Linked DNA regions of Canis lupus familiaris. The protein of the gene in region 2 purifies or fractionates together with the protein of the main gene of each other region. This does not show direct contact. Links are inferred from orthologs where the notes say so. Each region holds a gene or a part of one and is shown on either strand. Other genes may lie near its edges.

Evidence for each region. The genes of interacting proteins can lie anywhere in the genome.
Region 1: the proteins of SF3A2 (region 2) and SNRPD1 purify together in Homo sapiens (affinity purification with mass spectrometry; 4 studies listed by BioGRID and IntAct, with this or other methods). This does not show direct contact. The link is inferred for Canis lupus familiaris from reciprocal best matches to the Homo sapiens genes SF3A2 and SNRPD1.

What each region holds. Positions count from the first base shown.
Region 1 is NC_049228.1:66,463,448-66,465,854, forward strand, and holds part of SNRPD1 (small nuclear ribonucleoprotein Sm D1), read right to left. Parts: intron 1,340-2,407; coding exon 1,148-1,339; intron 1-1,147. UniProt on the Homo sapiens protein: Plays a role in pre-mRNA splicing as a core component of the spliceosomal U1, U2, U4 and U5 small nuclear ribonucleoproteins (snRNPs), the building blocks of the spliceosome.
Region 2 is NC_049241.1:57,268,138-57,272,523, forward strand, and holds the start of SF3A2 (splicing factor 3A subunit 2), read right to left. Parts: upstream 2,814-4,386; 5' UTR 2,718-2,813; coding exon of another isoform or gene 2,624-2,717; 5' UTR 2,375-2,623; exon of another isoform or gene 2,267-2,374; intron 2,200-2,266; exon of another isoform or gene 2,033-2,199; intron 1,817-2,032; exon of another isoform or gene 1,713-1,816; intron 1-1,712. Other genes in the region: PLEKHJ1 (pleckstrin homology domain-containing family J member 1), read left to right, coding at 2,624-2,717, 2,814-2,881, 3,336-3,402, 3,953-4,043, 4,115-4,178, 4,257-4,322. UniProt on the Homo sapiens protein: Component of the 17S U2 SnRNP complex of the spliceosome, a large ribonucleoprotein complex that removes introns from transcribed pre-mRNAs.

The DNA.
Region 1 (2,407 bases), on a different chromosome or scaffold from region 2:
ACCTAAAAACACTTCAGTCTTCAGATTTGAAAATATTTGCAAAGTGGATAGCAGCAAGAGACAGAACTGAGGAGAATGAATTTAGCATTTTTCAGGCTATGGGTTGCAACCTAAATTTTTTTTTTCTTAACTAAAAGAGCATAGAAAACATATAGACATTTGCAAGTATTAAGACTAATTCTTCCTGAGATTTTTGTTTTGGTTATATGCATGAATGGGCCATGATGCAAAGTATATTTCTTTTTTTTTTTTCTTTTTTTTTTTTTTTTAAGATTTTATTTATTCATGATAGTCACAGAGAGAGAGAGAGAGAGAAGCAGAGACACAGGCAGAGGGAGAAGCAGGCTCCATGCACCGGGAGCCCGACATGGGATTCGATCCCGGGTCTCCAGGATCGCGCCCTGGGCCAAAGGCAGGCGCCAAACCGCTGCGCCACCCAGGGATCCCAACAAAGTATATTTCTTAGTGGAAAGAGGGCATAAAAGTCTCAAAATCAATGTATTAAGTGACTGTCTACAAAACACCCAGCCCTTTCTCCTGCTCTACTCCTATAATGCTGGCTGCTAGGCATTATCTCCTACAATAGATGAGCAGAATCTTTTTGTGGGAGGGGTGGGGAGTGCAAAGCTTCAGAAATGACTCTAGATCCTGAAATTTTGGGTTTCCTCAGTGAAGAGGCTAACTCACTTCTGAACCACCCTACAGTGAGACTCAAGCTTATGGGTCCAGCCTCCCCTCCCAGAACTTCTCTTCCTAGGATTCTATTATTTAAATAAATGGTCAAAGTACAAGATATTCAAGTCAAGCCTACAACATAAAGATCAAAGAGAGCAAATTTGGGAAAGAGAAAGATCAGTCAATCAAGAAACAAACTCTTAACTATGTAAGAGAACAAACTGATGGTTACTAGAGAGGAGGGGGATGGGGAGATGGGTGAAATAGGTGATGGGGGTTAAAGAGTACATTCGCCACATATCAAACTGTTGAATCACTATGTTGTACACCTGAAACTAATATAACATTGTATGTTTACTAACTGGAATATAAAAACCTGAAAAATCTTGAGTATGTCTCTGCCTCTATCTGTGTGTCTCTCATGAATAAATAAAATCTTTAAAAAATAATGTTTATAATCCTTCAAACTTACCAGCTTCCCTTTTCTTAGATTTCACCTTTGGTTCAACATCCACAAGTAGTGTATCCAGAGGTAAGCTGTCTGGTAGAATGAAATATCGAATGTTATTTCCTCGAATACTCAGTGTTTCCAGCTGTACTGGTTCTCTATTCTTCAAAGTCATTTTCACAGCTTTAAGATGTGTATTCATGCTGACATCTACACCTACAGGGGAAAAAAGAGAGAGCTTATTAGCATGATAAAGAAGGCAACCAGTAAATCTATCAAGCCGAAGTAAATAACACAATACAAAAGAATACTGCCCATTCTGCTACACTCTAGGACACTGCCTATTCTGTAAGACTCTAGGACACAATTTAGTACAACTGGTTAATGGGTGAATAATGTCAATATAAACCAAAAATCCTTTCTTCGGAGATTATCTCTAGTACATTAATGTTTTGCATGATTAGGTATGCTTACAGATGTGAATGCAGCAAGCCACGGAGGAACCCTGAGTGATACCTGACTCATTCCCACTGTGCCCAGGTATTCTCATCTCAGGGCGTTCTCACTATCTCCATAACTTCCTTATTCCCCATGTCACCAAGCTGTTAAGTCTTGTTTTATTTTTTATTTTTAAAGATTTATTTATTTATTCAAAGAGAGAGAGGCAGAGGAAGAAGCAGGCTCTATGCAGGAAGCGCGACATGGGACTCGATCCCAGGTCTCCAGGATCACACCCAGGGCTGCAGGCGGCGCTAAACCTCTGCGCCACCGGAGCTGCCCCTGTAAGTCTTGTTTTAAATAAAAGATCCTATATATATTGCAGTATTTTCCTTGTTACTAGGAATTTAACACATCTTTTTAACTGCTTTTTGAAGGAATCTTACTGTTTTTAGTACTTTAATTCCCAAGTTGCACAAGTTTTGAATGCTCTGCCTCAAACTATTTTTCCCATTGCTTTTAGTGTGAGATTTTGTAAAAGAAAAGCACAATTTTCTAGAATGAATATTATGGCATTATCTTAGAAATACCCAATTATTGGAGCCTTTGCCAATATATCTGAACAAATGGGTAACAAAAGACCTAGTTTATTTCTATTCCTACAAAGTTAGACCAGAAAACATGAATTCTCTTAACTTTCCCAACATCTACTTCAAATAGCAATTATGGTCAGTGCCACAGGGTCACTAACCATGTTACTGAAACCTCATATTATTCTGATTTCCTTTAAAGCAATTGGTGTCACATACACAAATATACTCAAATACTATCAGTTTAACACTGTAT
Region 2 (4,386 bases):
CAGTGTGTGCTCCCCAGTTTGGCTGGGACCCAGGGGCCAGGACAGAGACATGCCCTCACTTCCTGTCACCTGTTCTAGCAGTGACATCTCCAGAACACCCCACTGACCCAGCGGTGGGGAGCCAGTAAGAGCCATAAGACTGACTTGGAAAGTAATGTGTTAACAAAGCCAGGAGATCCCCCCCCCCACCCCATCTGGTGAGGATTCCAGTTCCTTGTTAAGCCATCAGATAAGCCCCTCAAATGCTAGTGGCTGGCTGGGGCAAAGGCAACACGGGTGTTGCAAAAAGGGTCCACGTTTAGAGTGACGGGCTCAGGAAGACGGAACGCAAACACTGAGCTGGTCACCAAGTTAAAGGGAAGCAGTAGCCACTGGAGACCCAAGGTGCCAGTTGCTTGTAGCCCACTGCAGAGTGTTCCTGGCCTCCCCAGGGGAGGTCATCCCCTACAGGAGCCCAGGGGCCCTCACCCGACTGCCTGGGTAGGTTTTACAGTCTCAGAAGAACTGAACAAAGGGCCGCTCCACTTAGAGGGGCAGGCACAGAGGGAGAGAGTTGGAGAGCCAGGGAGTGGAGTGAGGGCCAGGCTGTAAAGAAGGAATTCCATGAACACCTGCCCTGCCCCTGCAGCTTGCCCAGAGGGTCCACCTGGAGGTCCCCAATCCAGGGACACAGTGAGAGCACGCTAGAAACGGTATTCTCAGACACTGACAGTGGGAGTCCCCTGCACCCCCAAAGAAACCTAGGCCTGTCTGGTTTCCTAGGCCTGCTGGGCAGTGAGACTCGCTAGGTTAGAGTCTGGGAACTCAAACACAGACACATCCGCTAGCCACCCCCCACCCCCCCAGGCAATGTTAGCATCCTCCTTAATTAGAGGGTGAGAGGGGGGATCCCTGGGTGGCTCAGCGGTCAGGGCGTGATCCTGGAGTCCCGGGATCGAGTCTCACGTCGGGCTCCCGGCACATGGAGCCTGCTTCTCCCTCTCCTCTGCCTTTGTCTCTGCCTCTCTCTCTATATATATATCTATCATAAATAAATAAAAATTAAAACAAAACAAAACAAAACAGGGTGAGAGTTACTACACCTCCAATGCAGAGCACGGCACCAAAGGTTAGCAAGGGCAGTTAAAACCCAAACCCAAGACCTTTGGAAACAGCTGAACTTAAGAGCTTGCGGGTACAAGTCAAACCAACCTTTTACAAAGAAACGCAAAACAGGGGGGAAAGTAAGAGAACAGGACTTAGATGAAATTTCAGAGCGAGAACAGCAAGAAGCATGGAAGGCATCCTCAAAGAAATCTGAAAGCATTCCCAAAGAAAGGGAAACAGCCCGGGCCCGGGGCTTGAGAGAATCTCATTGTTCGGACGGAAAAAAGGACAGAGACCCCCGTGGACAGAGACCATCGGGAGGCGCGGGTGGCTCAGGTCGTGACCCCAGGGTCCCGGGCTCCCCGCTCAGCAGTCAGCCTGCTTCTCCCTCTCCTCCCCCTGCTTGTACTCTACCTCCCCCTCTCTAATAAACAAATACAAATCTTTTTTTTTTTTTTAAAGATTGTATTTATTCATGAGAGACACACAGAGAGAGGCAGACACAGGCAGAGGAGCAGCAGGCCCCCTGCGCGGAGCCCGATGGGGGATTCGATCCCGGGACCCCGGGGTCACGCCCTGGGCCGCCTGGGGGCCCCAAGAGGGATGCTCAGTCTAGAGCTTGTTACCCTAAATTCTCAGCACGCACGTTCGCGGACAACCGAAGTCAACGTCAGCCCCGGGACGCCAGGGCGCGGGCCCGTCGCGGGCGCCCCCTCGGCCTCCCCCCCCCCCCCGACCCGCCGCCAGGGACCCCACGGCGCCGCCGGGCCCCGACCCGACCCGCACACTTCCGAGGAGGCGGGACTCGTCGGGCCCGACCCCGCGCGCGGCCAGGGAGCTGGGGCCCGGCGGCGCCGCGAACCCGAGAGCCCCCCGCCCCCCGCCGCTCCCGTCCGGGGAAGCCAGGGCCCCGGGACCGCCGCGCTCGGCCAGCCCGGATCCTCACCCCGCGCGACTCCTCACCCCGCGCCCGCCGCTGCCACGAAGACGTTATGCGCAGGCGCGTCGCGGGCTACAGAAGCGCTTCCGGGGGCAAACGGTGGGGTCTGGGGAGAGGGGTGAGGGCTTCCCGTGTGCGCATGCGTGCTTCGCCAGGCGAGGCGGACCTGATGCTCGAGAGGGCGAGGAAAGGGGGCGGGGCTGGGAATAAGGGCCGGAACTCGGGAGTGCGCGTGCGCACCAGGCTCTCCACGCCTAGCGGGCGCCGGGCCGGTTTCCGCGGGAGGGCGGGCGTGGGCTCGTCGGTAGAGGGCGCCACGGTCGTGAGGCTGCCTTCCTGGGTTCCCACCTCGGATCCAGCTGACTGCGTGGTTATTTATAACGGCCGTCCGTGTCGGCCGGTATCGCGTGCTCCCCCACGCGGGCCTGGCTTAGCGCCGCGCGCCGGCCAACACCACAATGCGTGTCTCGGGGCCGCGCAAGCGCAGTGGCCGCGACGGCGCTTCCGGGACGGCACTGTAGGACTTTTTTGGCGCGAGAGGGGACGGCGGCCGGGAGGGCGCGGCCCGCGCTCCGCGTTTTGGGTCCTGGCAGCGCCATGCGCTACAACGAGAAGGAGCTGCAGGCGCTGTCCCGGCAGCCGGCCGAACTGGCGGCCGAGCTGGGCATGCGAGGCCCCAAGAAAGGCAGTGGTGAGCGGGCCGGAGCGCCGGGCGGGCGGGCGGGCGGGCTGGCCGGGCGGGGGTGGGTGGCGGCCGAGCCCGCGTGAGCCCGCCCTGTGCCCGCAGTGCTGAAGCGGCGGCTGGTGAAGCTGGTGGTCAACTTCCTCTTCTACTTCCGGACGGACGAGGCCGAGGTAGGCCGACGGGCGGGGGTCGGGGCCGGGAAGAGAGCGGGGGCCCGGGGGGCGGGGAGGGCGGGGCCGGGGGAGGGGCCGGGGGCGGGGCCGGGACAGGTGTCGGGGCCGGGAAGGGAGCGGGGCCTGGCGGGGGGAGGGGAGGGCGGGGCCGGGGGGCGGGGCCGGGACAGGTGTCGGGGCCGGGGAGGGAGGGGGGCCTGGGGGGGGGGAGGGGAGGGCGGGGCCGGGGGAGGGGCCGGGACAGGTGTCGGGGCCGGGAAGGGAGGGGGCCTGGGGGGGAGGGGAGGGAGGGGCCGGGGGCGGGGCCCGGACAGGAGTCGGGGCGGGGGGAGGGGCCGGGAGCGGGGCCCGGACAGGTGTGGGGGGGGGCGCGCCGGGCGGGCTTTGGGGTCCGGCGGGGGCGGGGGCCCGGGTCCCCACGAGGCCGGTCCCCACTCGCCCCCTCCCGCAGCCCGTCGGAGCCCTGCTGCTGGAGCGCTGCAGAATCACCCAGGAAGAGCCCAGCGGCTTCTCCATCTGTGAGTGCCGCGCCCGCCCTGCCCCTTCGGCCCGGCCGCGGGTCTGCGCGGAGACAAAGTCCACCCTTCCCTCGGGCTGCCGGGGTGCAGCTCCTCTAGGACCTTGTCTCCTGTTGGGCAGTGCTGCACTGGGCTGCCGGGCCCTGCTGTGGGCGCCCTGGGGCTGGAGAAGTGACGTCATTGGGCCTGCGGGGGATCCTTGTCGGGGAGGTTGTCCCAGGCGAGCCTGGCTTCCGGGGTGGCCGGCAGCTGGCAGCGCCCTTGCCTCTGCAGAAGGACTCCTAGGGTGTTCGTGTCCCCCCTTCATGTTCTCGGGGACGTCCTGTGCCGCCTATTCTCCCCTGACTTATTAAGTAGCCGCACTCTGAAGGGTTCTGTATCTGGGCCACAGGCTCTAGGGTTAGGACTGGAACTACTGTGTGGGGGGCACCATTCAGTCCACTCAGCCGCTGGGAGTCGTCTTGGCCTGGAGGAAGGTGGAGGCCCGTGGGGGGGCTTCGGAGGGGGCGGCGGGCAGTGAGATGGGACAGACAGACCGCTCCCTCCGCAGGCTTCATGGAGGACCCAGAGAGGAAGTACCACTTTGAGTGCTGCAGTGAGGAGCAGTGTCAGGAGTGGATGGGGGCTCTGCGTCGAGCCAGGTGAGGTGTGGGCCTGCCCAGGGGCTGGGGAGGGGGGGGCCTGAGTGAGCACATTCCACTTTCTCCCCCAGCTACGAGTTCATGCGGAGAAGCCTCATATTCTACAGGAATGAGATCCAGAAGATGACTGGCAAGGTGCGCAGGGGGCAGGGGGCAGGGGGCCGGGCAGCGGCCTCTGGGGCCCCGGCTCATGCTGCTGGTTCATCCACACAGGACCCCCTGGAGCAGTTCGGCATATCTGAGGAGGCCAGGTTCCAGCTGGGTGGCTTGAAGGCCTGAGTTGGGTGGGGCTCGCCACCTTTTCTACTGGGACTGGAACAAGCACTCACTCCCTGTTTTCTCC